3 linked regions of the Macaca fascicularis genome follow. The protein of the gene in region 1 purifies or fractionates together with the protein of each later gene. This does not show direct contact. Links are inferred from orthologs where the notes say so. Each region holds a gene or a part of one and is shown in the gene's direction. Other genes may lie near its edges.

What was found.
Region 2: the proteins of PRPF19 (region 1) and CTNNBL1 purify together in Homo sapiens (affinity purification with mass spectrometry; 4 studies listed by BioGRID and IntAct, counting the BioPlex papers as one, with this or other methods). This does not show direct contact. The link is inferred for Macaca fascicularis from reciprocal best matches to the Homo sapiens genes PRPF19 and CTNNBL1.
Region 3: the proteins of PRPF19 (region 1) and KNSTRN purify together in Homo sapiens (affinity purification with mass spectrometry; 4 studies listed by BioGRID and IntAct, counting the BioPlex papers as one, with this or other methods). This does not show direct contact. The link is inferred for Macaca fascicularis from reciprocal best matches to the Homo sapiens genes PRPF19 and KNSTRN.

What each region holds. Positions count from the first base shown.
Region 1 is NC_088388.1:13,367,442-13,377,765, forward strand, and holds the start of PRPF19 (pre-mRNA-processing factor 19), read left to right. Parts: upstream 1-931; 5' UTR 932-1,133; coding exon 1,134-1,152; intron 1,153-2,065; exon of another isoform or gene 2,066-2,342; intron 2,343-3,610; coding exon 3,611-3,760; intron 3,761-3,936; coding exon 3,937-4,013; intron 4,014-4,594; coding exon 4,595-4,736; intron 4,737-4,819; coding exon 4,820-4,893; intron 4,894-5,009; coding exon 5,010-5,072; intron 5,073-5,929; coding exon 5,930-5,971; intron 5,972-6,100; coding exon 6,101-6,175; intron 6,176-6,540; coding exon 6,541-6,616; intron 6,617-6,778; coding exon 6,779-6,888; intron 6,889-8,157; coding exon 8,158-8,313; intron 8,314-8,568; coding exon 8,569-8,638; intron 8,639-8,870; coding exon 8,871-8,956; intron 8,957-9,224; coding exon 9,225-9,395; intron 9,396-9,546; coding exon 9,547-9,652; intron 9,653-10,324. UniProt on the Homo sapiens protein: Ubiquitin-protein ligase which is a core component of several complexes mainly involved pre-mRNA splicing and DNA repair. Required for pre-mRNA splicing as component of the spliceosome.
Region 2 is NC_088384.1:93,847,555-93,857,878, forward strand, and holds part of CTNNBL1 (beta-catenin-like protein 1), read left to right. Parts: intron 1-3,335; coding exon 3,336-3,524; intron 3,525-7,898; coding exon 7,899-8,005; intron 8,006-10,324. UniProt on the Homo sapiens protein: Component of the PRP19-CDC5L complex that forms an integral part of the spliceosome and is required for activating pre-mRNA splicing.
Region 3 is NC_088381.1:16,882,308-16,892,631, forward strand, and holds the end of KNSTRN (small kinetochore-associated protein), read left to right. Parts: intron 1-997; coding exon 998-1,130; intron 1,131-1,803; coding exon 1,804-1,851; intron 1,852-3,954; coding exon 3,955-4,060; intron 4,061-4,289; coding exon 4,290-4,383; intron 4,384-5,075; coding exon of another isoform or gene 5,076-5,119; exon of another isoform or gene 5,120-5,190; intron 5,191-5,908; coding exon 5,909-5,970; intron 5,971-6,690; coding exon 6,691-6,765; intron 6,766-8,491; coding exon 8,492-8,620; 3' UTR 8,621-9,261; downstream 9,262-10,324. UniProt on the Homo sapiens protein: Essential component of the mitotic spindle required for faithful chromosome segregation and progression into anaphase.

The sequences.
Region 1 (10,324 bases):
AAAGAAGTACCCTCCACTTTAACCTTTACAAGAAAAGTAATTTTGAGATTACCAAATGACCAATCCCATTTTTGTTGTTTCTGTTTTCCTCAGTCCTTTTCTGTCTAAAAAACCAAGCTCCCCTGTTCAGCTCATTGGAACAACCATTAGATTTTATAGTGTAAGGCGCTGCCCAATTTTATAGAATTGCACCCTAAGTCCCAGAGCTACTCTGGAGGCTGAGGCAGAAGGATCACTTGAGCCCAGGAGTTCCAGGATGCACCTGTGATAGCCATGATTGCTACGATTGCACCTGTGAATAGCCACTGCGTTCCAGCCTGGGCAACATTGCCAGAGTCCGTCTCTTAAAAACAAAAACAAAAACAAAACAAAACAAACAAACAAAAAACTTTAAACTAAATTTGTTGTGATTTTGTCTTTTGACAAAGAAGAAAGGGCAGGGAAGCCAATGTGAATTGCCCCAAATCACAGAGCGAAACGGTAGTAGTCAGGACCAAAACGCTGTCTTAGCCGTTTTCTTAGTTCCTGTACCCATCTGCCTCTGTATTTTTAACACCAGGCCATCCAGCAGTGTCTCTTAAAGGGTGGCCCGAGAAACACCTGACTTAGAATAGCGTGGGGGGCAGTCTGTCTACGCAGATCCGAGGAATCTGCATTTTAACAATGGGAAATTGGGAAATTCTCGCGCACACCAAGGTTTCAAAGACCAGGGTCCCGTGACACAGTGCCGCACAGTTGTCAAAACAAGTGCTGTCCAATTGCTTTGGTTTTAAGTTCTCACTGCATCATGGGAAATGTAGTTTCGAGTCTCCTCTCTTCCGACGCCCCCGCCAATCCCCGGGCGCTTTACGGAACGAGCCGAGTCAATCCGGAAATAACCGAGTGTTCGTGGCGGGCCCTTTCCTGCCCGGCTGCATTCTGGGAAAGGTCCATTTCCGTTAGGTGCTGGAGGCAGTGGCGCGCGGCTGTCCCCATTCCCACGTGAAGCGCTACGCGAGCATCGCTCGACTGGCGGCTCCCAGCTCGCAGCTGAGCAGTCCCGGCAGCAGCGGGGGACCGGAAGTGGCTCGCGGAGGCTCAGAAGCCAGTCCCGGAGTCCGGCGTGTGGCGCCTGGGAGCGCGGCAACGGCGCCATGTCCCTAATCTGCTCCAGTGAGTGTTGCCTGCGGCCGAGCGCGGGTCGCAGGAGGCCGGAGAGCGGCGCGGGAGCGTGTGCGGGCCACTGCGGCGCCGGGGCCGGGGCCGGGGTGGAGGCGGGAATGGGGCGCTCCAGAGGCAGAGCGGCGGCCTGTCAGCCCCGGAGCCCTCCCCTCGGAGCGGGGTGCATTTGCGCAGTGCTCCGCAGTTTACATAGTGCCGGAGGTTTATTGTCGCAGGCATTACTGAGGCAGGTCGCCTCATTCTACCGAGTGGAAACAGGCCTGGACAGAGGGAGCTGGTGCAGGGGAAACAGCCTTGATGTAAGAGTCAGGAAACCCGAGGTCTTGTCCAGGGTCCGCCTCCTGTTGGCTTTGTGAATTGGCTTAAGGCTCTGTGCCTCGGTTTCCCCATCTGCAAAATTGAGAGCATTGCACTGGATATTTTGTGAGGCCTTGCTCGGATAGTCGCAGCTTTTGCAATTTGTAAAGGTCACATGATGAGTTAGAGGTAGGCAAGGCTGGCAGCTAGGTATATGGCTCCCAGCCTTACAGTGTATGACTAATTAAAAACAGCGCACATTTATAAAGCCCTTATTGGTTTACAACGCGCTTCCAAGTCTAGGATCTCATTTTATCCTCACAAGAATTCCCTAAAGGAGAAAAGATCCTGGTGTTGCAAATGAGGAGGCAAGGCTCAGGAAGAGCGGGGCTTATCTAAGAATGCGTAGCTAGTCAATGGCAGAGCTGGGTGACGTAGTTAGGTGACACGGAGTTTGGAGCCTGAATCCTTGCTTTTTCCATACCTTCCACTATCTTTCCCTTTGATATTTTATCATGACGTACATACGTTTTCCTTTCCCTTTTCGTTGTTTCATCAGATTACTCGTTTCCCCTCCCTTTTGCTATTCACCTCCGTCTCTTCTCAGAACCTGTACGTTGATCCAGAGAGGGGGAAGAAGGAAGGGAAATGATGGAAAAGGAATCTCTCACATTGAAGAAATTACAGCTCGCAAAGTACCTTCACATTCATTGTTTCCTTCCAGTCTTGGGAAAGCTCTCTTTTACGTTCCCCAGCACTATCTTTCCTGGCAGGGTTCACTCATTCGTTAGATGTTTACCGAGTGCCCTGGGGGCATCTGCATTGTACTGGAAGTGAGAGACCAGCTGTAATCCTTATCCTCAAGGGGCGCACAGTCTATGCAGGCAAGAGTGTAAATGATACCTCTATTGCGGGTTGTTGTGAACATGAATTACTGTACTGTATGCCTAGAATTGTGCTTGGCACATAGACATGTGCCATGTAAATATTTTTATTGTAATGATTGCCACTTTGCTCCTTGGAATCTTCCAGGTGATAAGTGTCTGCCTGTATCCTAATCAGTTGACTGGTAGCTGGCAGACGTCAATAGCTTCAGGATGGGGACTGGTCACCTAGAAAGACTAAAGGGTATTAGAAAGTTGGGATTTTCAGTCCTACCTCCCACTTACCTGGGGAACGAGAGGGGCTGAAGTTGTCACTAGTGACCAGTGATTTATTGAATCATGCCTTTGTAATGAAGTTTTCATAAAAATACAAAAGGGCAGGATTCAAAGAGCTTCTGTATAGCAGAACATGTGGGCGTTCCTGGAGGGTGGGGTGCCCAGGGAGGGCATGGGAAACTCTGTACTCCTTCTCCCATACCTCATCCTATGCACCTCTTCATCTATACCCTTTGTAATATCCTTTATAATAAACTGGTCAACATAAGTGTTTCCCACAATTCTGTGAGTCACTGTTGAAAATTAATTGAACCCAAAAAGGGGGTCATGGGAACCCTGATTTACAGCTGGTAGATCAGAAGAACAGGTCAAACAACCTGGAGCTTGCGATTGGCATCTGAAGGGGTGGGGGAGTCTGGTGGGACTGAGACCTCAACCCGTGTGATCTGACACTATCTCCAGGTACCTGGTGTCAGAATTGAATTGGAGGACACCCGGATGGTCACATCTGTCACAGAAGTATTTTGTTTTGTGAGAGAATGGGAGAAACTGAGTTTGTTATTCCTATATTCTCAGACTTTATGATTTCTTTGATAATCCCTCTGGAGCTATAGACTAAGATGGATGGAAGGGATTTGAATGGCTTCATGTGTGTCTCCATGTCATGGAGTAAACTGTATTCATAGAGTACACAATCATTGTTCAGATATTAGGTGGCGATAATGGACTGCTGTTCTCTAGGTGCTTGGCACATAGTAGTTGTTAATAATTATTTGTTGACTATCTGATTGTCAGGAGACTAAAGGAAAAGCTAGTTCCACAGCTGGAAAGCGTTCTGGGGCCAGTACAGAACTGGCTTAGGGTCAGATGTCTTGCTTTTTGCTAGTTGATTGTGAGGATGCCTAGTCTTGTTGGGGCTAATAGCAGATGAGGAATCCTCTAGGCTCAAGATTGCCTTCACTCCAAGCTCACTGCCGGCCTTTTCTCTACAGTCTCTAATGAAGTGCCGGAGCACCCATGTGTGTCCCCTGTCTCTAATCATGTTTATGAGCGGCGGCTCATTGAGAAGTACATTGCAGAGAATGGTACCGACCCCATCAACAACCAGCCTCTCTCCGAGGAGCAGCTCATCGACATCAAAGGTGCCTATTGGCTGCCTTAGTCTAGGGCCATCTTAGCTCAGAGCCTGAGAGGATGGGAGGTGGTGCCAATGCACTGGAGGAGGAGATGGTGGGCTGTTTATGGCTAAAAGGAAAAGATGTGATGGCAGGGGAGGTCCCTGGGTTATGCTCTTCATACCTACTTTCCCTTTCGGCAGTTGCTCACCCAATCCGGCCCAAGCCTCCCTCAGCCACCAGCATCCCGGCCATTCTGAAAGCCTTGCAGGATGAGTGGGTGAGTTCCTGCAAGAGAATTAGCATCTTCCCCACTTGAAGAGAATGCATCGCTGAGTTAGGACTTGGGGGTGGGAAGGATGGAGAATTATTTAGATAATCATCATCAGGGTTTTGTGACATCAGGGTTTTGTTTTATTCTTTGTTGTATCCCCAGCACTGAGAGCGCCTGGTACGTAGTAGGTGCTCTAGAATTATGAACTGAATGATTGAATACATCCTGCAGGACTGTCTGGCACAGTGCCTGACACAAAGAGGGCAATCAATAAATAGCAGCAGCAGCAGTGTTGTTATCCACTTTTAGAGAGGTGACGGCATGACAGCTGGAATTTGCCAGTAAATTAGGGAAAGTAGGGATGGGAAAGAGCTGACTGCCACTCCTGTCTGTGTGCCCAGTGTTTGGCTTGGGGTAGGAGCTCAAGAGTGTCTGCTGGCATATTCATGGTGCTCGGATATTGTTTGGGTCACTGATACTGGTCTAGGCTGTGGGATAGGAGGCAGCATCCACTCCCCAAGAGCTGGCTCCACTGGGTGCTCCCTGCGCCCCCCGCCTCAGCTCACAGTAATATTTGCCTCTCCCAGGATGCAGTCATGCTGCACAGCTTCACTCTGCGCCAGCAGCTGCAGACAACCCGCCAAGAGTTGTCGCACGCTCTGTACCAGCACGATGCCGCCTGCCGTGTCATTGCCCGTCTCACCAAGGAAGTCACTGCTGCCCGAGAAGGTGCAGCCTGCCCCCTGCCATCCCCCACCCTGAGCTGGTTCTGCTTTGTAATATCCCATTTCTAACATCGTCTTTTCTCTCAGCTCTGGCTACCCTGAAACCACAGGCTGGTCTCATTGTGCCCCAGGCTGTGCCAAGTTCCCAACCAAGTGTTGTAGTAAGTGTCCCCCTTCCCTTACCACAGCCCATTTGTGTGCAGTGGCCCACAGAGCTGTCCTTATGTAGGTGTCTTTGGTGCTCTGTGCCCCTCACCCTCACCTTTCTTCTCTTCAGGGTGCGGGCGAGCCAATGGATTTGGGTGAGCTGGTGGGAATGACCCCAGAGATTATTCAGAAGGTAAGTCCTGCTCTCACCTGGTGGGAGTGCTGATGGGCCCTTACTTTTCCCCATCTGTCTAGAGTCCATCGTGACTAAAATCGCTATGCTTTTGGGAGTTGAGTGGTGCAGAGCGTGGATTCTGGGCCCAGATTGCCTGGGTTTGTATTTTGATGCCACTACTTGTAAGCTACATGACCTTGGCTTCCTTAGCCGATTTCCAAGTTTCATTTCTGTAGCTTCTAAACTGAGAATATAATAATATCCACTTTATAGGCTTGATGTGGGAATCTAAATGATTTAATTACTGATAAGTGCACCTTTTAGCCCTTATTGTTTTGGGTATTATTTGCAGATAGTAAACTACTTTTATATATTTTCTTGCTTTTTTTCTATGAGGGCAATAGGACAGGAATTATAATCCTTATTTTACAGATGAAAGACACATCAGAGGCAGAGCTGGGCTCCTGATTGCAAGTCCAGTGGGATTCTCATTTGCAGGGCTTTTTAGTGTCTTTCTGAGCAGTTCAAATTGTCAGCATGTGTCTGAGCCCTTGGCTGAGTGGCATGTAGACCTATGGGAGCTCTACAGTCCTGGCCTCCATTCCTGCTCTGCTATTTATCACCTCTGCAACCTTGGGCAATTGACTTCACTTCTCTGAGGCTCAGTGTCCTCAGCTGTAAAATAAGGTCATCAACACCCCCCTTATAAAGCTGGGATGGAAGTAAGAAGAGAGAATGCCTTTAAGCCTGTAATGTAGAAATTGGCAGATAGCAAATTCTGGGTGTTGCTTGTGAAAGCACAGGTGTGACCAGCATCCAATGTGCTTTTCTCCTTGCAAGATAATTTGTCTCACATTGAGCCTATTCTTCCCCAGCTTCAAGACAAAGCCACTGTGCTAACCACGGAGCGCAAGAAGGTGAGTTCTCTTTTGAAGCCAGGAGAAAGAGCTGGCCTGGTGGGAGGCAGTTGACCCCTTAGGAGAAAGGGGGCTGGCTGATCTTGGATTCATTGCTGCTGTACTTTGGGGGCTTTTTCATTTTCTCAGAGAGGGAAGACTGTGCCTGAGGAGCTGGTGAAGCCAGAAGAGCTCAGCAAATACCGGCAGGTGGCGTCCCATGTGGTGAGTGTCTGGGTCTTCACTGTCTTGGAGACAGCCCTCCTGTTTTGTGTCTGGGGTGGGTGGGCCAGCATGGGGAGTGCTGAGTACAGAGCTGTCCCGGGCTCCTGGCACTGTTCCTGGCGCTGTTTCTTGCCTGGGCTGCTGAGCTGTCAGGGCTCCTCTTCCTGCCCAGTTGTGGGTTTCCCAGTGATGCAGTGAAGGAGTTACCGCAGCAGGCAGATAGCCAAGAGATATGGATAAGGAGTAGAAGTAACTCTTGCTCCCCTGAGAACATGGGTGACTGGGGATGGCAGTAGGGGAGACCTGTGGCTTTGTGGCCTGCTGTGATTTGGCTGTGACAGGGTTTGGTGTGTCTCTCTGCAAAGGGGTTGCACAGTGCCAGCATTCCTGGGATCCTGGCCCTGGACCTCTGCCCGTCTGACACTAACAAGATCCTCACTGGTGAGAGTCTGGGCCTAGCCCAGCAGGCCAAGGTGGGGAGGGGCAGCGGGGAATTTGCATGCGCCTTGTCCTCTTCATGGGCATGGGGACAAAAGCATTTCCTTCAGCAAAAGGGCCTGGGTGGGCCTGACTCATTGTATGGTCTCTTTGGGTCTTCTCCAGGTGGGGCAGATAAAAATGTCGTTGTGTTTGACAAAAGTTCGGAACAAATCCTGGCTACCCTCAAAGGCCATACCAAGAAGGTCACCAGCGTGGTGTTTCACCCTTCCCAGGTAAGGGGTTCTTGCCACCTTTGGATCTTCTTTCCTTGGCTGTTGTTTGTCCCTCGCCCCCCTGCTGTCTCTGTGAAGTGGGGCTGAGAAAGAGCGCTGACTCCTGAGTGGGCACTTGGAAGGGCTTCACTTTGGAGTTGTGGAGATTGCCCTTCACTCTGCGTGAGACCTTCTAAAGCAGTGGTCTTCCAGCCAGGGAGAGAAGGGAAATGTGTAGTTTGACAAGCATATTCATTGAAAAGTTTTATATTAGGGAAAGAAAAAATCTTATAGTGTTCGTCATATAAACTACAGAAAACAAAGCTCAACTCAATCTCAACTCACAGGTATGAGGAAGACAGATGTATTTGCTTTCTCATGACCCTCCGAGACGGGTTAAAGTCATGTTGACTATTGAAAGTGGTGTGGGTTGTAAATAGAACCTCTGGTTTATAGGATAAAGGTAACTCATGGGACTGGATTAATGATATTATGGGATTCGAATTTCAAGCCTAAGACAGTTTGGGTTTGGGGCTGCAGGACAGTGGTTGGTTTAGCGCTTCCCAGTCGAGCTTTCCCTTGGACCTTAGGGAAATGAGAAATGTAAGAATGACATGGTGAATTTTTCATGACTAAATTACTCAAATCGAGGGCACTGTTTTCTTGCTTATGGGGTATTAATAGTTAGGTCTCATGAAATTGTATTGATAAAGATGGTAGTTATTTTTGCCTTGTGGCTTTTAATATCCTAACTAAACAAAAAATTGGTGAGTGAGTGATACGAAATTCTCTCCCTGCCCCAAATCTTTTGGAAAACTAACTTACCCTGGAAATCCATAAATGTGGGATGCACTGAAATACAGCCATGCAGCCCCTTCGAGTCCCCGTACTGCCCAGACCTGTGCCATACAGTACAGTAGCAATTAGCTACATGTGGCTACTTAAATTTCAATGAAATAGAATAAAAAATTCAGTCCCTCAATTATACTAGCTACATTCTTCCTTTGGTCCTGGAAATGGGAAAATTGCTCTCTGTTGCAGTTAGCCTTTTTACCACTAGATGGCGCGGACGCCTCCACAAGCCCTGATGATGTATGAGTTACGACTTGAATAGCGTTTACCATTGGCTGTTGTGGGCACCTTTGGGTGGGTAGGTGGTTCCAGGGAGGGCAGGGCTGAAAGGTGAAGCAATTGTTGGTAGTTTTGGGCATCCCCTGCCTCCTTTTATAACATTGTTTTGATCTGTGTCTCTTCTCTGACTCTGATACTCTGTCTTTGTTTTCCTTGTAGGACCTGGTGTTTTCTGCTTCCCCCGATGCCACTATCAGGATTTGGTCGGTCCCCAATGCCTCTTGTGTACAGGTGGTTCGGGCCCATGAGAGTGCTGTGACAGGCCTCAGCCTGCACGCCACTGGTGACTATCTCCTGAGCTCCTCCGATGATCAGGTGCGGTCCCAGCCAGTGCCCTGGAGAGGCTTGCTGGTCCCCAAGCTTGAACATCCTGGGTGGCGGGAACATCTTCCCACCCCAGCTGCTTCCCCAGAACCTCAAAGGAGAATGTTTCCTCTCTGCTGGGAGGTGCTAGGTTTGCCAGGGTTTACCAGACCAGGGGCTCTGTCTACCTGAAAGGCCACCAAAGCCTGGGACCCACTTTCTCACTGACTCCATTCTCTCTCTCTCTCTCTTTTTTTTTCCCCCCAGTACTGGGCTTTCTCTGACATCCAGACAGGGCGTGTGCTCACCAAGGTGACAGATGAGACCTCTGGCTGCTGTAAGTTGCCTCGTAGGCGCTCAGCCTTTTTGTTTGCTATTTATTATTTACTTTTACATTTTATTTAGTCGTTTGCTTATTTGTTCTAAAGATACATTTACCATCAGCACCTGCCTAGTGCAGGCTTTGTGCTGGGTGCACTGAGGACCGTGAAGAACAAGGAACCTAACTTTGCTGCTCTTAGTCTCTCCCTGGTGGGCTCTGACCACAGGTCCGTCTTCCTCCTCCACAGCTCTCACCTGTGCACAGTTCCACCCTGATGGACTCATCTTTGGCACAGGAACCATGGACTCTCAGATCAAGATCTGGGACTTGAAGGTAGGACACGGTGGGCTTCCATCTGAGGCCCAGGGCCAGAGCGGGTGTTTGTGACAACGTGGTGCTGATGAGGTGCTTGTGGCACCTGGCACTGAAGGGGCCATCGCTGGCTATGCCTGTGTGATATGATGGTGTGGTCTGCGGGGTCCCGCTGGCTGGCCTTCCTGGAAGGACAGTGAGGGACATCTCAGGTAGGGGTTTGGTGAGCTCCATTTTCTTCCTCTCATGATCTGTGGGTGACGTGTTTTACTACCCACCACCACTGTAGGAACGTACTAATGTGGCCAACTTCCCTGGCCACTCGGGCCCCATCACTAGCATCGCCTTCTCTGAGAATGGTTACTACCTGGCTACAGCGGCTGATGACTCCTCTGTCAAGCTATGGGATCTGCGCAAGCTTAAGAACTTTAAGACATTGCAGCTGGATAACAACTTCGAGGTATGCCCTTCCCCCGCCCCACCCAGCTTTCCATTGTGTCTCCTTGTTTGTCGATTATTTATTGAATTAATCTAATTGCTTCTGCTTATCCGCAATTGCCCCATAGTTTCTGTTCCCCTTGTGTGACCTTCTCTCTTTCTGTTTCTGGCAGGTAAAGTCACTGATCTTTGACCAGAGTGGTACCTACCTAGCCCTTGGGGGCACGGATGTCCAGATCTACATCTGCAAACAATGGACGGAGATTCTTCACTTTACAGGTAGAGGCTGGTCCTGGGCTCCTGGGGTCTCTAGGTGCCCAGGCCCGGAGGGAAGCCTCACTGGGTTAGGAATTTCTAGGACTTGCATGAATTTACCTAAGCAGCTTTCGGTTACCACCTGAGGCAGAGCTTTATGGCTAAGGAAGCAGACTGAGTCAGACTGCGTGGCAGTGGATGCTAGTAGTCGCTCTGCCACTTCATGCCGTGTGGCATTGGGCAGGTTACTGAAGGGAGAGAAAACTCCTCCCTCTGAAGGTTTGATAACTGAATCTGAAATCAATGAACATTAGGCAGAGTGACAGGAGGAAAGCCATTTTAATGACGTGCATATGCATGGGAGGCCCACATTATATTAGACCTGCAGAAAGGTCAGATGATTGAAGCTTATACAGTCTATATATCCTTTAATAATGGGGATATGTTCTGAGAAATGTCTTATTAGGTGATTTCATCATGTGTGACCATTGTAGGGTGAACTCACACGTATCTGAATGGTGTAGCCTGCTACACACCAAGGCTGTTGCTATAACCTTAGTGTAGTCTATTACTGCTCCTGGGCTGCAAACCGGTACAGCATATTACATGTAGTGAGTACAGTTATAACACAGTGGTGAGTATATGTGTATCTAAACCAATCTAAACATAGAAAAGGTTCAGTAAAAATAAGGTAGA
Region 2 (10,324 bases), on another chromosome or scaffold:
TCTAGAAATCTCCTTTCCGTGGAGAACTATGGAGCTCATGCCTTGACTTGGCTGCTGCAGTAGGCTCACGCTAATCAGAATCGCAGCAGGGCTTCTTTTATGAGCTTGAAAGAATTAGTCTTCCCAGAGGGCTGAAGTTCCTTACCTGCTGAGGAGCTACAGATTTCCGGTTGGAAGGCTGCCCTCCTTTAGGATGAATCTACCTTCCCTTCCTCTTCTTACATGAAAACCACCACCTCCTTTTTTATTTGTAGCTTGTCTGTGGTTACTGGCATGTTGCTTTCCTTTTTATTTTTCTTTTTTAGGGTAGAGTAGTAATGATGATAGTAGATTTTTGTAATTTTTGTCCTTATGGAAAATAGAGTGTGTTCATATGAAATTATCATCTAGCTCAGGGAGACTAGGAAGAGAGTGAAAAATAGCAGGTGGTACCCTACAAACTAAATTGTCGAATGTGAGTTTTCTCAACAATGTCATATGCTCAGACTTACTAAAGCACCTGGGATGTGGAGCAAGCAGGAAACATGAATAAAGAGGGGAATGCCTTTCTACCACTGGCAGAGTACAGTTCAATAAAAGTCAAAAGGGAAGATGTGTAACATGTATAATAGAAAATTTTCTCTTATTACCAAACAACTTAGCAGGCTGGCAGTGAAAGTGGCATTTTCTTCTGTTTGGTAGTAACGGACCACATTGCACCAAGCATATTGCTGGTGGGTGTGATTACTATATCAGATAAAGAAAATCTCATTGAAGAATCTAACACAAATGTTTTGTTGGAGAAGACAGAATCATGTGGATTACCTCACAGTGATGATTTTAGGTATTTGTTCAATACCATTATGGTTTAGAATTCTTTCACTTGAAGTTCACAGAGGAAAGAATTATAATGTCCATTTACAGATAAGGAAACTAAGGTTTAGAGAGGTAGGCGACCGGCCCAGAGTCGAATCAGGAGTAAGTTGAGCTGAATGGAGACACTGGGCTGTTTGGTGTCTGGGCAGTGCTCTGTCTCTTCAGCTCTGAAGCCCCTTTCACTACTGCTCTGTTTTATTCTAATTTAATGGAAAACAACACTAAGAACTTCTTAATTGATTGCATTGTAAAAGGCAAAATGAGCTGGCTGCAGTGGCACACACCTGTAGTCTCAGCTACTCAGAAGGCTGAGGCAGGAGGATTGCTGGAGTCCAGAAGTTCAGGTCCAGCCTAGGCAACATAGTGAAACCTCATCTCTAAAAAGTAAACAACAACAACAACAATAAAAGGCAAAATGAGGTCCTAACAGAGTACGGTAGAAAGGTCCTTGGCCTAGGAGTCTGGAAGTGCCAGTTCTGTTTTCAGGGGTGCGTTAATGGTTTTGTGATCTTATGTAATATTTGGCTTCTGGGCTTTTATTATTATTATTATTATAATATTTGATTTAAAAACTTTTAATTAGCAAATAATTGTATATATTTATGGGGTACAAGGTGGTATTTTGATATATGTCTACAGTGTGGAATGATTACGTCAAGCTAATTAACAAATCCATCACCTTTAATATTTTTTCTGTGGTGAAAATATTTAAAATCTGTTTTATCAATTTTTAAATGTACAGTGCATTATTTATTATATTCAGCATACAGTGCAATAAGTTACTAAAGCTTATCTTCCTGTTTAACTGAAACTTTTCTTTTCTTTTCTTTTCTTTTCTTTGAGACGGAGTTTCTCTCTTGTTGCCCAGGCTGGAGTGCGATGGCACGATCTCAGCTCACCGCAACCTCCGCCTCCCAGGTTCAAGCGATTCTCCTGCCTCAGCCTCCCAAGTATCTGGGATTACAGGCATGCACCACTACGCCTGGCTAATTTTATATTTTTAGCAGATACAGGGTTTCTCCATGTTGGTCAGGCTGGTCTTGAAGTCCCGACCTCAGGTGATTTGCCCGTCTCGGCCTCCCAAAGTGCTGGGATTACAGGTGTGAGCCACCACACCCAGCCTTACTGAAACTTTATACTCTTCAGTCAACATTTCCCTCCATTCCCTTCCTCCACAGCCGCTGGTGACGATCATTCTGCTCTCTACTTCTATGAGTTCAGCTTTTTTAGATTCTACATACAAGTGAGATTACGAGGTATTTGTCTTTCTGTGCCTGGCTTATTTCGCTTAGCTTAATGTCTTCCAGTTTTATCTAGGTTGTCTCAAATGTCAGAATTTCCCCGCTTTTTAGAGCTGAGTAGAATTCTATTGTGTATATATACTTTTTAAAATCCATTCATCTAGTGACGGACACATAGGTTGCTTCCATATCTTAGTTATTGTGAATAACGCTACAACGCACAGGGCAGATATCTTCTCAGCATACTGAATTCAATTCTGTTGGTTACATACCCAAAAGTGGGATGGCTGGATCATATAATAATTCTGTTTTTAATTTTTTGAGGAACCTCCATCTGTTTTCCATCATGGCTGTATTTATTTGTATTTCCACCAACAGTGCACAGAGTTCTCTTTTCTCCACACCCTCAACAACGCTTTATCTTCTGTCTTTTTCATGATAGCCATTCTGATAGGCGTGACATGATAACTCATTGTGGTTTTTCTTTGCATTTCCCTGGTGATTAGTGATGGTAAGCTTTTTTTTTCATGTATCTTCTGGCCATCTGTATATCTTCTTTTGAGAAGTGTCTATTTAGGTCCTTTGCCCAGGCTCTGGGCCTTAACTCAACTCTTCTGTAAAATAGAATTGGGAGTGCAGTAGACATTCAGAAGTTACATATGTAATATTTTATATTTGGACTACTTGTGAGTAACTGTAGAGAAAGCTTTGTAATCTTTCATAGATGTGAATTAAAACCAGGTGCTAAGAGGTTGACATTGGGAGTTATATCTTGACTAGTACATGAGCCTAACCTGGCGTCGCCATCTTAAGATAGCTTTGTTGCTATTTCCATATACATAGGAACTTTTGTGAAATGGCAAAACTGTATATAAAAAAATTCCCACTGACTTTCATGGTATATTTATAGAATCATTAAGGATCTGAAAAATGACCACATAGAGCTTTACTCCATGTGGTGGGAGAAATTGTATGCTGGCTGCTTTTGAGTCAGAGAATTCTTGAAAGCTTTTAGGATATTTGCTGTCTATGCCTTGCAAAGTCTTTTTTTTTTTTTTTTTTTTTTTTTTTTTTGTAGAGTCAGAGTTTTACCATGTTGCCCAGGCTGGTCTCAAACTCCTGGGCTCAAGAGATCTGCCCTCCTTGGCCTCCCAAAGTGCTGGGATTATAGGTGTGAGCCACCATGCCCAGCTTCTATGTCATGTCCAGCTCTAAAATCCTGTGTTTCTTTTCTCTCAGCCCAATAGGGGCACAAAACGTCCCCGGGATGATGAAGAGGAGGAGCAGAAGATGCGTCGGAAACAAACTGGTACTCGAGAACGTGGCCGCTATCGGGAAGAAGAAATGACTGTGGTGGAAGAAGCGGATGATGACAAAAAAAGGCTGCTTCAGATTATTGACAGAGATGGGGAAGAGGAAGAGGAAGAGGTAACATGGCAGCGATGGGTGGGAGCTGAGATGGCCGGCCCTATAGAATGTAATTTTGGGCCAAATACTCAGCTTGTCTGAGCTTCCCATCTTCATCTGTAAAATGGGGTTAAGAATTCATATTTCATCGCGTTAATGTGAAGGTTAAGTGGGCTAGGGCAGTTGGGAAAGCATCTTGTGAGATGTAAAGAACAAGACAGAGTTTTCGAATTATCCAGGCAGGCTTCCTGGATCTTACTGAGGACACATAGAAGGCACTTGTGTTATTACCTTTGAAAGAGGGATCAAATTTTATCAAGTGGAAGGAAGGGCTTTTTAGGCAGAGAAAATGGTGGTATTAGCAAAGCAACAAAAGTGGAGAAGTTTAAGGGGGTGCCACATTGTTAGATATTTAGATGTGACTGCAAAAGTACAGCTTAGGGAAGGAGACTCCTCAGGGCCTTTCTCTTTGCTGTTCCCCAAGATGCCTTGGGGCTTTTCCACTCATTCCTGCCTCTGGACCTTCGGACCTCTGTGCCCTCTGTTGGAATGCTCTTCTTCCTTGATGCTTTGTATGGCTGGTTTCTTCACATTCAGGTCTCAGTGAGATGTTTCCTCCTCCAAGAAGTCTTTCCTGTGTAGCCCTGCAAGCCGTTCTCTCATTCCCTCATCACTGTGTTCTGTATATTGTCTGCACAGCACGTATCATGATTTGAAATTCTAGTTGTTTATTGTGCTCATTGCTGTCCTCCTCCCAACCTCCCATGAAAACAGAGACTGGCTCTGTTCTGTTCACAGCTCTATCTTTGGTACCCAGAGCAATACCTAGCTCTTGGTGGGCCCTTAATAAATATTTATTGAATGAATAAATGAAGCTGGGAAGAGTGGAGGTAAAATATCAGTGATTAAAAACAAAATGACCTTACCTCTGTGTCTTTTTAAATCTTTAAGTGTTAACTTGTATGTTATTTCACTCTGGCATTTTGTTCAATATGAATTATGGAAATAGAGTCTTAAGAGCCAGCTGTTTTTTGGTTCCCTCAAAGACACGATGCTAAGTTTGGATTTAAAAAATGAGGCTGGCGTGTGAATCTGAGAAGAAGAAAAAATGGATTCATATTCCAAAAAGGTCTTTACTGTGTTGTGACAGTAGCTATTTCCTTATTAGGATTTGTACTAGTGTTAATTTGGGGGTCTGCCCCTAAAAGATGATGGCACTTTAGAAATATGTGGTGGGAGACAGTCCTGAATTTTTGAATTTCCTCTCTGAGGGCAGCAGCCTTGCCAGGGCTTAGACAAACAGTGTGTGTAGCACATCCTCCCTCCTTTCCCTCCTCACCAGCTTCTGCTCAATCTGTTAGCCCTGCAGCAGCAGTTAATTGGCAGGTATAATTCCCATGTAGGGCAAGGCTGGTACTGGAGGATTAGGATAGTAGCTGTCATGGGTAAGTGGTTTCTAGCCTGGGAGACAGAAATGTAATGTGGGACCAGCCCTTCTGTTAAGGGACAGGGAAAAAGAGATCACTTTGTAAAAATGACACATGGAAGGCTACAAGTCCAGGAGTTATTTTCTCACTGCCACCAAAGTCCCATTTGATGAAAAACAAGTGATGCTTGCCCCTGTAAAGTCACGTGAACTTGTAAAATATTATTGTCCTTTTTGTGCTACATCACCAGCATTCATCTTTCTGAAATCTCCCTCTGGTTTCTGACGTTGAGCTATTGGAGATACTGCTGTGGCTGATGACTAAGACTGATAATTCAGTTTCCCCCAGTGTTGGAGAGAAATTAAAGGAGGGAAGGCCAAACTCTGGAGAGGCTAGGACTTCGGAAATCCCGTGAGAGCTGTGTTAACACTAATGTGGTTTTTCTCCAGAGTGGGGCACGATGTTAGCTAAGAAAAAGAAAAGTAGCAGATATTGAGCTTGCTTGAAAGTGATTTAACTCTTTCCTAGAAATGTTTTGATTATTTTGGTTAAATTCTAGTGGGATGTTGGGTACATTGTGCCTGTTGCTAATAATAACCATAACAGCTTGCATTCATGTAGTTTACAAAGCACTTTTATGTACATATTTTCTTTAGGTCATCTCTATGACCTTGAGAGATACAGGTAACATTTTCATTCCTCCCCTCCCTTCCCCTCCCCTCCCCTGTCCTCCCCTTCCCTTCCCTCCCCTCCTCTCCCCTCCTCTCCCCTCCTCCCTTCCTCCTTTCCTCCTTTCCTCCTTTCCTCCCTTCCTTCTTTCCTTCTTTCCTTCCTCAGATCTTCACGGAGTACCTGCTGTGTGCCAGACACTGGAGAGTCTACTTGTGCCACAGAACAAGTAGACATGGGCTAGCAATGGGGGTCTTTGCCCTGGTTTGGGGTTGGAGAGATTATCTGGGCAGATCCTGCCAGATCCTTACATAGATCATGTGAGGGGTTTGGGATTTTATTCTCAGTGTGTGGTGGATGAATTCAGGAAAGATTTAGGAGTTAGAATTAGCTGGACTTGATGAAGCTTTGAGGAATATATTCAGCAAAGTAACATTGTCACATGGCTAGTAAGTAGTGAAATTAGGCTCTGAGTCTTGACTGAGCCAGGACTCTGACTTGTTTTTACCACATCAGGGAACCTCTCTTTAAGCTGTAGACCCTGGGGAGGAGGTAGGGGTTCGATAGAGAACCTTGGGATCTAGGAATCATTGGTATAATCTAAGAAATGTGTCATGCCGAAAATGAATTTATGGGTAGCTCCCACTTAAAGCCCAATATGTGGAAATAGAAATTTAATAATAGAATAATAGCTAACATTTTTGAGTACTTATAAAATTATGGGATGATTCAGTGCTTTCCAAAAGGATCTATTTCAGGTTCTCTTAATAGCAGTTTCTTTATCGCTTTTAGGCTTGAGTTATGGTCAATGACTACAAAGCTGTGAAGCTTTGAGTTGGGATAGTATTGAGAGAAGCAGGGTGCATTGCAGCACACTAATTTAAACTGGAAGGTAAACTGAAGATAAAATGTGTGAAATTTTAGTGTAGATTTTTTGGAGAAAAAATGATTTAGTTTTCAAATATTCATTTTATTTGCTTTCATAGGTATTATTCCAATGTATGGAGCCAGAAAATTCTGTATGGTCTACTAGCTTTTTTCTGCATTCTCTAGGCAGGGTTACTAAATTCTTGATGCTACTTCAGGATTCAAAGTACCTGTCTGAATTCCTTCTCAGCATCTAGTAAGGACCAGGCAAAGTAATATATAAGAAATGCTAAGCAGTGACTGTAGCTAATTAACAACCATTCTTAGTTAACGCACTGTACAGAAACAGGCAGTAGGTTGGATTTGGCTCATGGGCTGCAGTTTGCCAACTTCTGCTGTAGGAAAAGATTAAGGGTCACTGTCACTGACCCAGAGTTTGACCTTAAACAATTCTTTTAAACCTTTCAGTCTTATCTTACATGGATAGCAAAGGAAGACAAGGTAAATGTATAATAATATTATCTAATATTGTTGCTTACTCTGTGCCACACAGTGTGCTCAAGAAATGTTTGTTGAATGAGTGAGTCTTTAACACCTTTTCTTTTTTTTTTTTTTTTGAGATGGAGTCTCCCTTTGTCACCCAGGCTGGAGTGCAGTGGCACAATCTCAGCAACCTCCGCTTCCGGGGTTCGAGTGATTCTTGTGCCTCAACCTCCCGAGTAACTGGAACTACAGGCGTGTGCCTGTATTTTTAGTAGAGATAACGGTTTTTCCATGTTGGCCAGGCTGGTCTTAAACTCCTGACCTCAGGTGATCCACCCATCTTGGCCTCCTGAAGTGCTGAAGTGCTGAAGTGCCCAGTCAGTGTTTAACACCTCAAACTGAATTTCCTGTGTTACAGATAGTGGGCATTATGTGAGACATCGAAAGTGATATACACAAAAAGAAACATGTGATTACAGGCCCTTAATCCTCATTGTAATCGGGGAGATAAAGTGTGTACTGTGGCCGGGCACAGTGGCTCACACCTGTAATCCCAGCACTTTGGGAGGCTGAGGTAGGTGGATCATGAGGTCAGGAGATCGAGACCATCTTGGCTAACACAGTGAAACCCCGTCTCTACTGAAAATACAAAAAAAAATTAGCCAGGCGTGGTGGCATGTGCCTGTAGTCCCAGCTACTCAGGAAGCTGAGGCAGGAGAATTGCTTGAACCTGGGAGGTGGAGATTGCAGTGAGCTGAGATCGTACCACTGCACTCCAGCCTGGGCGACAGAGCCTGACTCCATCTCAGAAAAAAAGGTGTGTACTGTACATTTAACCCAGAAAGATCAATGGCAGAGTGAGGTGGGGTATAAGAGCCACCGGAAAGTAGTGACAGTGAATGTGAAACCCCTGGGGACTGAAGTTGTTGCATTTGTCTCTTTGTACCAGGAGGAGCCATTGGATGAAAGCTCAGTGAAGAAAATGATCCTCACATTTGAAAAGAGATCATATAAAAACCAAGAATTGCGGATTAAGTTTCCAGACAATCCAGAGAAGTAAGGTTCTGTTCTACTGACACCCTGTCTCCTCTGTGGCGTTTCGTTGGCTACTTTTGTTTTGGGTTTGGTTTGTTTTGGCTTTTGTGATTGGGGCCAGGAATCCCAGGATGACCTCCATGTTTGGGAAGTCACTAGAAGGACTCCTAGGACTCAAAGTCAGTGATACTCAGGGCTGTGGTTTATTACACAGGGCACACAACGCGATCAGCAAGGGAGAAACACAACATCAGGTGGCGTCTGGAGAAATTCAGATACAGGCTTCCTATGTTTTTTCCTTCCCAGTGGGTGGGATCATACAGACATGCTTCTTTCTTCAGCAGTGAAATGCAAACATGTGTGCAGTGATACAGATTGAGACTCTGAGTTCAGGGTTTTTATGGAGGACTGCTCATGTAGGCATTCTCTGCCAGTAATAACTAACAAAATTGCAGGCTCCTGGAAGGAAAGCAGCTGTTCAGTGCCCTGGGCTGACAAAGCAGCAACCTTATCACTTAGGGAACATTTCAAAAGCCAAGTTCCTGGCTGCCAGCCTAGGGCCAGCCTTGTAAGCCAGCCCTTTTCAAGATCAGCCCTGCTATGTTAACTCTCCTGCATTATTCTTTTCAATGCCCAAAGAAGACTGATCGTGCCTGCCATTAGTGATAGCTTTACTGTGGAGATCATGTCAAAGACTCTGAAGTTAGACAAATATTGGTGTGATACACACATGCCTTTGAATAAGTCACTTCCCCTTTCTTAGCCTTGGGTGTCTCATCTGTATAAGGAAATAATGCCTTCCTCACAGAGTTGTATGAAGATTAAAGGAGAATAATGGTAAGTGTTTAGCTTAGTACCTGGCACATAGTAGGTGCCCATGAGATGACAGTTAACGTGAGTTTTACTGCACTAGCACCTTGGTGCACTGTGAAGTGCTAATATGAGGAATCTGGCATCTTTCAGTCTGTCTTGAATCCTAACCAAGGGGACTTTCACATTTATACAGTTTTAATGTTCTAAACCTCTCTTTCTCTCCCTATCTTTGTCCCTCCCAGGACATACAATTTTAATGAATCTTAATATGCCCAAGGCCCCCAGGCAATTAACAGTTGAGTAGTAAAGTCTTTGCACTCAAGTTTATAGGTTACTAGGGAGACTGACTATAAAGGCAAGGTAGAAGGAAACAGACACTTGAAAAGAGATATGAGCAGAGTTCTGTGGGTGCTTAGAAGAAGAAACAGTATATACCAAGTTGGGAGCTATTGAGGGCGTCACAGAAAAGATAGTAGTTGAGTTGAGCCTTGAAGATTCATTTTTATTAGGCAGAAAAGAACACAGAAAGGCATGCCAGGCAATATGAGGAGCATGAACAAAGGCCCAGAGGTGTCAGAGGGCACAGAGTCTTCACGGCAACCTAGTGAGGCCAGCGTGGTCAACTGTGTTGTCCCTATGCTGTGAATGAGAAGGCAGGGTGGGGAGAATGTGGTTACTGGGCCTAGGGCCACAGCCCTCTTTGATAGTAGGAATAGCTATTAATAGAGCAGGGCCCAGCTTACCCAGCACCAGCGTCCTTTCAGGTTTTGTACTGGTCTCCACCATACAGGAGCACTGTGTGTGTGTGTGTTTGTGTGTGTGTGTGTAATTACACGAGTAATGCATGAATAGATTGTCATTCTGAAAATACCAGTGGTACATGAGTAGAGTGAAAAATGAAAGTTCTCCTTCACTACTCTGATCTCTTTCTATTCCTCTGCCTAGAGGAACCTTGTGAACAGTTAATTATGCGAATGTATTTGTTTCTACTCAAATCACACCGTACATATTCTGCACCTTGATCTTTTGGGTCATATAACAGATCTGTCCATGGTAGTACAGGCATGTCTACCTTGTGTTTTTTTTTAACTGGTGCATAGTATTTCATGGTTTGGAAATACCATGACTTATTTAATTATTTTCTATTGATGGACATTTTATTATTTTAAATATTGACTTTTATGAAGAATGCTATAGTGTACCTACTTGTATATGTGTCTTTGTGTGCATATGTTTCCGTAGGATAGATACGTAAATTTGGAATTCCCGGATTGAAGGGTATGTACATTTTAATGATGGCTACTGCTAATTTTCTCACTCTATTTTTAAATTCTCCTCCAGCAGCAGCATCTCTTTTCTTGTGTTCTTGCCCACAATGCATGTGATCAGTCTTTAACATCTTTGCCATTTGTTTTGTTGTTATTTCTGTACTCAGTGGTTCCTGCATTATACTCTGTTCCTTTTAGGAGATGGACTGTGTCTTGTTTGTCTCTAGTGCCTACCACAGTACTTGCCTTGCTGTAGGTG
Region 3 (10,324 bases), on another chromosome or scaffold:
CATTTCTCTGGTTATCTGGCAAGAAGATCAGATTAGAATGCCTAATAGCGAAACTCTAAACTTAACGAAGGGTAAACGAAAGAGCTGGTGGTAGAGGCAGTCAGCATGGAAGAGGAAGGGACCAGACAGGTAGTTTAGAGATGGTCTGTGAAACAACCTATGCAACTGTGAAGTGTTTGATTTATTCAACAAGCAGTTATTGAACCCCTGTTCATATGCCAAATATTCTTCTAGGTGATGGGGACACAAAGATGTCTTAGAGTGGTTAGGAAGATATTCTGGGAAAAAGAACGAAGTAACAATTTAAAAAAACTCAGAGCAGCTCAGTCATGCCTTAGGAGAGTGTGCAGCGTGCTTGGAGTTGCTTAACGAGATGGTACAAGGATTCAGCCGTGTTTTACTTCCACCCTGCTCTCTGCTGGTGTCCATCTCCATGTTCACTTTTACAGCCTCCACCTTTCAGTTCAACGAAACTTTTGGCTACCCTCAAACACACTGTACTGTCCATTTAAAGAATTTTGGTTTTTATTGCCAATTAGCCTGGAAGTTTTATTCTTTTGAATTAATATCACATGTTGAAATTTGCCAGAATGAAAATAAAGATTTGGCCAGGCGTGGTGGCTCACGCCTGGGAGGCCACAGCAGGAGGATTGCTTGAACCCAGGAGTTCGAGGCCAGGCTGGGCAACATAGTGAAACCCTGTCTCTATTTTTTAAATTTTATTTTAAAACATATTTTAGGTGCCTGTAGTCCAGCTACTCAGGAGGCTGAGGCAGGAGAATCTCTTGAACCCAAGAGGCAGAGGTTGCAGTGAGCCAAGATCGCACCACTGTACTCCAGCCTGGGCCACAGAGCGAGACTCTGTCTCAAAAAATTAATAATATTTTTTAAAATACAGTAAAGATTTATGACAACTTAGAATGGGGCTCTGTTTGTTATAGGGTTGCAGCTGTCGGCTCACGATGCCAGAAGTTTTACCTCTCGTTTTCCTTTGCAGACACACAAACTCGGGCCACTTCTAAGAGTCTGTTACCTGTTAGGTCCAAAGAAGTCGATGTTTCCAAACAGCTTCATTCAGGAGGTCCAGAGAATGATGTTACAAAAATCACCAAACTGAGACGAGAGAATGGGTGAGAACGCATCATTAGTATCCAGTTAGAACATCTTCCTAGAAATTGATCAATACAAAGAATTAGAAAACAGGATTTTGGGGAATACAAGGCTCCTGAACAACTGGCCTTCAGTCAGTGGCCCAGAGCTATGCAGCATTCCTGAGCTCTTTGCCAGAACCCTCTGGGTTGATCTTTCTGAAGAGACACAGCCAGGGCTATGAGAGGTGTTCTTTCCTCTTTCATCGCTTGCTCTGAGGATACAAATGGCAGCACTGTAGTCATACGCCAACCCTGAGGGGTAGTCATGTGGGGTGGGGACTAGTTGTTACCCTAGGTTGCTGGTCTGACCACAGTCCAGCCCTAGCGTAGTGTGTGTGTGTGTCCCCAGCCAGCATTCAGTTCCCAGGTGAGTGAGGTTGACATGAGATAGCCACGCCATCTTGAGAGGAGCAGCTCTGTCAGGATGTTGGGGTGGTCGGGGTCATGCCCCGGTGCTACTAATAAGCCTTTTCAATAGTCTGTGCTGAAACAATAATGCATAGTCCCTCAGAGCTCTCAAGCTTGTGCCATTTGCCTTGTATGTCATCCCTGGTTCTTTCCTCAGAAACTCAAGTTCTTTGTTCTGCCTGTTCACTGCACACTTAACAGTACTATGAGTCTCTGATTCATTTCTTTGTTTCTGCCCTCCTAGGCAAATGAAAGCTACTGATACCACCACCAGAAGGAATGTCAGAAAAGGGTGAGCATCAGGGTAAATCAACTTGGCCACTGTTCTAGGGTAGTGGATCTCAATCCTTGTTTCTGCATCAGAATCACTCGTGGGACTTGTTTACTGTGTTAGGGTCTGGGTTCCACCTCAGGAACCTGCGTGGAATTTTCAGGGGTGAGGCACAGCTAGGTGTAAGAACCATTGTCAGTGCAAGAATCAGTGGTGCTACTATCTTGAGTCTCAAGCAAGAGCTTTTTGGACTCTACGCCAGGACCACTGTTGATCAGAAATCACACTTAGCTATGGCCCATCAACAGGAGGGTGAAGCCTTCAGGAGAGGAAGGGCTGCCTGTAGTTAGTGATCTCGAGATGAAGATTCTGGTGGTGGTGAAATCCGGGAGAGAAGGTTCATCTCTCATCTTTGAGGCTAGCTTCGAAGTTTTGCACTATCAGAAATAGAAATAATACGCTGAAAAGTCTGTACAAATAGGTTTTAGTTCCAGATCTATTATTTGGGCTTATCCTAAGAGTTTTGAAGATAGCAGGGCACAGTGGCTCATGCCTATAATCTCAACACTTTGGGAGGCCAAGGCTGGTGGATAACCTGAGGTTAGGAGTTCGAGTCCAGCCTGGGAAACATGATGAGACCCCATCTCTACTAAAAATACAAAAATTAGCCGGGCGTGGTGGCGCATGTCTATAATCCCAGCTACTCAGGAGGCTGAGGCGGGAGAATCACTTCATTCCCAGAGACAGAGGTTGCAGTGAGCCAAGATCACATCATTGCACTCCAGCCTAGGAGACAGAGCGAGACTCTGACTTAAAAAAATAAAAAAGTTTTGAAGACAAAATACTAGCAATAAAGACTGAGGCCAGGCGCGGTGGCTCAAGCCTTAATCCCAGCACTTTGGGAGGCCAGGACGGGCGGATCACGAGGTCAGGAGATTGAGACCATCCTGGCTAACACGGTGAAACCCCGTCTCTACTAAAAAGTACAAAAAACTAGCCGGGCGAGGTGGCGGGCGCCTGTAGTCCCAGCTACTCCGGAGGCTGAGGCAGGAGAATGGCGGAAACCCAGGAGGCGGAGCTTGCAGTGAGCTGAGATCTGGCCACTGCACTCCAGCCTGGGCGACAGTGGGAGACTCCATCTCAAAAAAACAAAACAAAACAAAAAAGACTGAGAACGTTAAGAAAAAACTCTAGGCCCGGCGCAGTGGCTGACGCCTGTAACCCCAGCACTTTGGGAGGCTGAAGCGGGCAGATCACAAGGTCAGGAGATCGAGACCATCCTGGCTAACATAGTGAAACCCCGTCTCTACTAAAAATACAAAAAATTAGCCGAGTGTGGTGACAGGTGCCTGTAGTCCCAGCTACTTGGGAGGCTGAGGTAGGAGAATGGCGTCAACCCGGGAGGCGGAGTTTGCAGTGAGCCCAGATAGCGCCACTGCACTCCAGCCTGGGCGACAGAGCGAGACTCCATCTCAAAAAAAAAAAAAAAAGAAAAAAGAAAAAACTCTAATATTGGTGATATTAGAGTTTATTAGATGATAAACATTATATTATTTTATTACATATCAGCCCAGCTACTGGGCTAAGAAATGCACATGGGTTTTCTCTCTTATTAATAATAATACTATGAGATGTAGGTATTGTCCTAATTGCCAAAATGAGGAAACAGGGCTTCAGGGAGCTTATGCAACTCACTGAAGGTCATAACCACTATGTAAATAGCCAGGATAGGAACAGGACGTGTTTGTGTAACTCTGTAGGCCATTTTTTTTTTTTTTTTTTTTTTTGAGACGGAGTTTTGCTCTTGTTGCCCAGGCTGGAGTGCAATGGTGCAATCTCAGCTCACACAGCCTCCACCTCCTAGGTTCAAGCGATTCTCTTGCCTCAACCTCCCAAATAACTGGGATTACAGGCATGCGCCACCACGCCCAGCTAATTTTTGTATTTGTAGTAGAGACAGGGTTTCTCCATGTTGGTCAGGCTGGTCTTGAACTCTTGACCTCAGGTGATCTGCCCACCTCAGCCTCCCAAAGTGCTGGGATTACAGGCGTGAGCTACTGCGCCTGGTGTAGGCCATGCTCTTAACCCTTTTGTCTTTTCATGTAAGTACAACTGTTATTACAGCTACAAACCACTGAGTAAGCAAAAATCAGAGGACGAGCTCAAGGACAAGAACCAGCTCTTAGAAGCCGTCAACAAGCAGTTGCACCAGAAGTTGACTGAAACTCAGGTAAGAGACCCACCAGAGCTCTGTTACCAGCTGCCACTGGGCAATGCACATGGAATCCTGATGGATGGCCCCTTGGGTGAGCAAGCTTGTTAATGCACAAATGCCCAAGGGCAGAAAAAAAAAAACAAAACAGGCTTTTGCTATGGCTGTCCAAGAGCAAGGGCAAGAAAGGGCGACCACCCCTAGGGATTGGGACAGTTCCTGATCTGTCTGTGCGGTGCTCCAACAGGGAGAGCTGAAGGACCTGACCCAAAAGGTAGAGCTGCTGGAGAAGTTTCGGGACAACTGTTTGGCAATTTTGGAGAGCAAGGGCCTTGATCCAGGTAAGAGATAGCACACAGCTAGCTGTCTTTGAAGGGATCAGTGCATGTGTCCCTTCCTGGGTTGATCTTGGCAGCATGGCATCAGCTGGCCCAGTAAGTGCAGGGGTTACTTCAGTAAAGCCCTAAAGATTTTGGAGGGCTTCTGTTTGTTTTCATGTGATGTTGATTTTTGCCTGGCCAATAGAATTTCAGAGGATTATATAGAGAGAAGGTTATCTCTTTCTTACCTGAACACTTTATGCCAACAGGTATGACCTTGCAAGTAGATGAGAAATATTTTGTTCCTTTCAAGGGAGAATATTTTCTGTCTCTTCCCATTTGGGAAAGTTACTAGTGTGCTTGAAAGGAACATTTTGTTTGAACATGTTCTTCCTCGCAAGCATACTAGTAACTTCTCAAATGGGAAGAGACAGAAAATACTACTTCAAGCATTCTTAAACCTGGCTAATCAGTAGAATTACAGTGACTAAAAAATGACTACTGTTACCCTGTCCCCCAGAGAGCAGAATCTGTAGCAAAGAGAGCAGTAGAAAGAATTGTCCAAAGACTGTAAGAGGGCCTCAGCCTGAGTCAAAGAGCTAGAGAATGCCCAGGAAATGGGCCCAGGCCTTTTTGTATTAAGGAATACTGACTTTGAATGTTACTGGTTAATCTTTAGGTTACAGGTGAGGATATTCTTTTTTTTTTTTGAGATGGAGTCTCACTCCGTTGCCCAGGCTGGAGTGCAGTGGCGTGATCTCAGCTCACTGAAACCTCCTCCTCCTGAGTTCAAGTGATTCTTGTGCCTTAGCCTCGTGAGTAACTGGGATTACAGGCATGTACCACTATACACAACTAATTTTTGTATTTTTAGTAGAGACAGGGTTTCGCCATGTTGGCCAGGCTGTTCTCAAACTCCTGACCTCAAGTGATCTGCCTGCCTCAGCCTCCCAGAGTACTGGGATTACAGACATGAGTCACCATGCCCGACCTGGGATATTCTTTATAGTCACTGTAAAATACATATTTTTAAATTTAAAATTTTTTTTTTGAGATGGGATCTCGCTATGTTGCCCAGGCTGGCCTCCAACTCCTGGGCTCAAGCAATCCTGAGTAGCTGGGACTACAGGTATGCGTCACCACAACTGACACCATAAATATTTTGTATGATTTTAATTTATTACATGCATGTGATATTACCAAAAGTAATAATTTTTAAGGCCTGAAAGGCTCTTAAATTGTGAACAAAACCAAAAAATCCAACCTATACATTTCCTTTGGACAAATTGTCCACTGACCTAAGGAGAAAGTATACAGAATTTTTGGCCATATCCAAACCTAGATTGAAAGGAGATAAAATGCAGTTCTGCAGGGCAGATGTGGGTGACCCTGCCAAGGTGAAAACTTGGGAGAAAGTCCAGGATTAGACACTTAAGAGAAATTCCCCTCATGAATATTTCTGTACTTGTTCATGGAGGGTTTTTATTTTTTTTTGGTTTAAAGTGTGTAGTTCCCTAAGTGAAGTTGACTTTGTTGTATCCGTCAGCTTTAGGCAGTGAGACCCTGGCATCACGACAAGAATCTACTACCGATCACATGGACTCTATGGTGAGGGAATGGGTGCGAAAGGGCACAAGGGCTGAGTGACTGTGGGGCTCTGTAAATCTAAGAAGGTCTCTGCTATATGTTCCATAAACCCCAAGAAACAACCTTTGATTATCTGCGATGGTAGAAAAGAGAAATGGAACATGCACTCAAAATAGCATATTTTACTTGAAAGGTAGCTTTGTGCTTACAAATATAGGTAAGTCTGAATTGAAAATTTAAAACACGTGGGGCCTGGCGCGGTGGCTCACGCCTGTAATCCCAGCACTTTGGGAGGCTGAGGCGGGTGGATCACGAGGTCAGGAGATCGAGACCATCCTGGCTAACACAGTGAAACCCCGTCTCTGCTAAAAAACACAAAAAACTAGCCGGGCAAGGTGGCGGGCGCCTGTAGTCCCAGCTACTTGGGAGGCTGAGGCAGGAGAATGGTGTCAACCCAGGAGGCAGAGCTTGCAGTGAGCTGAGATCTGGCCACTGCACTCCAGCCTGGGCGACAGAGCGAGACTCTGTCTCAAAAAAAAAGAAAAAAAAAAAAGAAAAAAGAAAATTTAAAACACGTGATAGGTAAACCTGTAGAGAGAGCTTTCTGGTTCCTCTGTTCTATACTGTATCAAATTTCCTGACTCCTTTGTTGAGAACTGTGTGGAAGGGATGTTAGCCATCATCTAATGCAGGTCTGGTTTTATATGAAGATTTGTTTACTACATTGTACTTTCCTCTTAGTTGCTGTTAGAAACTTTGCAAGAGGAGCTGAAGCTTTTTAATGAAACAGCCAAAAAGCAGATGGAGGAGTTACAGGTGAGAGGCAGACATCACCCTGACCATTTTCTACCACGATAGGTAGATTTCTTTCCTGTTTTTCTTTTTATTTTTAATAAACTTGCTAAATAATTTTAGATTTATAGGAAAGTTACAAAGATAATACAGAAAATTTACCCTGATACTTTTTTTTTTTTTTTAAATTTCCAACTTTTAAGTTCAGGGGTACATGGACAGGGTGTGCAGGTTTGTTACAAGGTAAACATGTGCCATGGTGGTTTACTACACAGATCATCCCATCACCTAGGTATTGAGCCCAGCATCTATTAGCTATTCTTCTTGATGCACTCCCTCCCCCAACCCCCAACAGTAACATCTTACATTATCCTGGTACATTTGTCAAAACTAAGAAATCAGCCAGGCATGGTGGCTCATGCCTGTAATCCCAGCACTTTGGGAGGCTGAGGTCGAAGGATTACTTGAAGCCAGGAGTTTGAGACCAGCCTGGGAAACATAGCAAGATCCCATCTCTGCAAAATAAAATTTAGAAAATAGCCAGGTGTGGTGGAAGGCAGAGGTTGCAGTGAGTCGAGATGGTGCCATTGCACTCCAGCCTGGGCAACACAGCAAGACTCCGTCTCAAAAAAAAAAAAAGTATGAATAAACTAAGTTCATACCAATAATGCCTATCTTGCTGGGTGGTTATAAAAGAGAATTATGTCTAGTACCTAACCCAGTGCCTAGCAAAGGTACTCACAGTATATACTTTTTTTGAGAGAGAGAGAGATGGTGCATACCTGTAGTCCCAGCTGCTCAGGAGGCTGAGGCGAGAAGACCACTTGGGCCCAGGAGGGCAAGGCTGCAGTGAGCTGTGATCATGCCACTGCACTCCGGCCTGGGTGACAGTGAGACTATGTCTCTAAAAATATAATTTTTTTTTTTTTTTGAGATAAAGCCTCGCTCTTACCCCCAGGCTGGAGTGCAGTGGCATGATAATCGGCTCACTGCAACCTCCACCTCCCGGACTCAAGAGATTCTCTTGCCTCAGCCTCCCGAGTAGCTGGGATTACAGGCGTTTGTGACCACGCCCGGCTAATTTTTATATTTTTAGTAGAGACAGGGTTTCACCGTGTTGGCCAGGCTGGTCTCGAACTCCTGACCTCAGGTGATCCACCCGCCTTGGCCTCCCAAAGTGCTGGGATTACAGGTGTGAGCCACTGCGCCCGGCAGGAAAAAATTGTTTTAAAAAAAGAGACCAACATCAGTACATTACTATTAACTATATTCCAAGTCTTCATTTGGATTTTTTAGCAGTTTTTTCCACCAATTTTTTTTTCTTTCTGTTAGCGAGGCCTCTTAGAAATGTTCACATTGCCAAGGCATGAGGCAATGTGTAACACAGTAGGTTGCTCAGAGTTGGGAATTGGGAACTGTATGTAATCCTTTCTATGGAAACTTGATGACTTGAGGAGGAGACCTGTAGTAAACACAGATTCTTTGGTCTGGACTGCTTCAGATTGCTTGGATGAATCATGGGATATTGCCCCAAACCTAGAGATACAGGAGTCTAGTCCCTCTCTACTACTAGGGGGACAATTCCTAAAACCAGCACGTAGAAGCAAAATCTAAAATAGAAGATACAGTCTCTGTTGATACTCCAGCGGTCTTCCTTAGTGGAACAGGAGCATAATGTGGGTATTGTGTTTCCTGTTAGTCAAGAGTTTTGTGTATGTGTTGTTTTCCTTTGGAATGTCTTTCCATGCAGGCCTTAAAGGTAAAGCTGGAGATGAAAGAAGAAAGAGTCCGATTCCTAGAACAGCAAACCTTATGTAACAATCAAGTAAATGATTTAACAACAGCCCTTAAGGAAATGGAGCAGCTATTAGAAATGTAAGAAGAAGCAAGTGGCCAGATGGCTCCCTCTTGGGCATAAACTCTCAGAGGAAGCCACTTAGGATATCATCTTGGCCATGATCTTCTGGGACTCACCATCTCCAGAATGAAAGCAATTTCTACAGTAGAATTAAGGACAGTTTATGCTGAAATGGCAATTCCTCATTTAAGCAAGTTTTCCCAACCTTCAGGTTGGTCAGCCCTCCTGAGCCTCACAGGTGGATAATTGAGGCCTACAAGAGAGGGGGGCCTAGGAGCTTGGATTGACCTTCTAGTCAACCACCTGATTCCAGCACACCATTATAATCCGGAGACTAAACCAACAACCAGAGGATCTAAAAGGTCACATTCAGATTTTCAGGAAGAAAATCTTCATTACAGTACAGCACAAGTGTTCCGTACAAGACCATTGAGGAGCCATGCTGTCCCCTTCCAACCTGGAACACATTCTGTCCCATCCTGGTTGGGCTTCTGTACCTCCTTATTAATTTATGAACCTGAAGTTGCTTGAAGTGTTTTGGGCTTAATAAATGGGGTGAAAGTATAGGTAGCAGTAACACCTACATGAAACAATACACCTTGGAGCTTTAAATTACTTTTTTTTTTTTAAGTCTACTTTTAAAATAAATACTTCTGTAAATATTCTGACTGTAACACTGAGGAATGAAAATAACCTTTTAACCTAGATATGTTAGTTGATCATTATTGAACTAATTTAGTTAACAAGTCCAAGATATTCTGACTTAATCTAGAATATTCTTCTGCTACTCTTTAAGAACCCTGTGGCTAGTCCCTCTGTCTCCGAAGAGCATTGGCTAGTCTCCTGAGGGTGCTGCCCATTTGTAGCAGTGGTTTCACCAGGTCTGTGGCCACTTGCTGCCTGTGTTCTCCCTGCACTTTTTTTTTTTTTTTTTTTTTTTGAGACAGAGCCTCACTCTCACCTAGGCTGGAGTGCAGTGACGTGATCTCGGCTCACTGCAACCTCCTCCTCCCGGGTCAAGCAATTCTCCTGCCTCAGCCTCCCGAGTAGCTGTGACTACAGGGACGTGCCACCACGCCTGGCTAATTTTTAAGAGACAGGGTTTCACCATGTTAGCCAGGATGGTGTCGTCTCCTGACCTCATGATCCGCCCACCCTGACCTCCCAAAGTGCTGGGGTTACAGGTGTGAGCCACCGCAACTGGCCTTTTTTTTTTTTTTTTTTTTTGAGACAGTCTCGCTTACTCTATTGCCCAGTACAGTAGTGTGATCTCTGCTTACCACAACCTCCACTGCCTGGGTTCAAGCGATTCTCCTGCCTCAGCCTCCTGAGTTGCTGGGATTACAGGCGCCCCATCCCCTTACCATGCCCAGCTAATTTTTGTATTTTTAATAGAGGTGGGGTTTCCCCATGTTGGCCAACTCCTAACCTCACGTGATCCGCCTGCCTCAGACTCCCAAAGTGCTGAGGCCGGGCATGAGCCACCATACCCTGCCATTTTTGTTTTTTTTTTTTTTTTTTTTTTGAGACGGAGTCTGGCTCTGTCACCCAGGCTGGAGTGCAGTGGCGCGATCTCGGCTCACTGCAAGCTCCGCCTCCCGGGTTTACGCCATTCTCCTGCCTCAGCCTCCCGAGTAGCTGGGACTACAGGCGCCCGCCACCTCGCCCGGCTAGTTTTTTGTATTTTTTAGTAGAGACGGGGTTTCACCGTGTTAGCCAGGATGG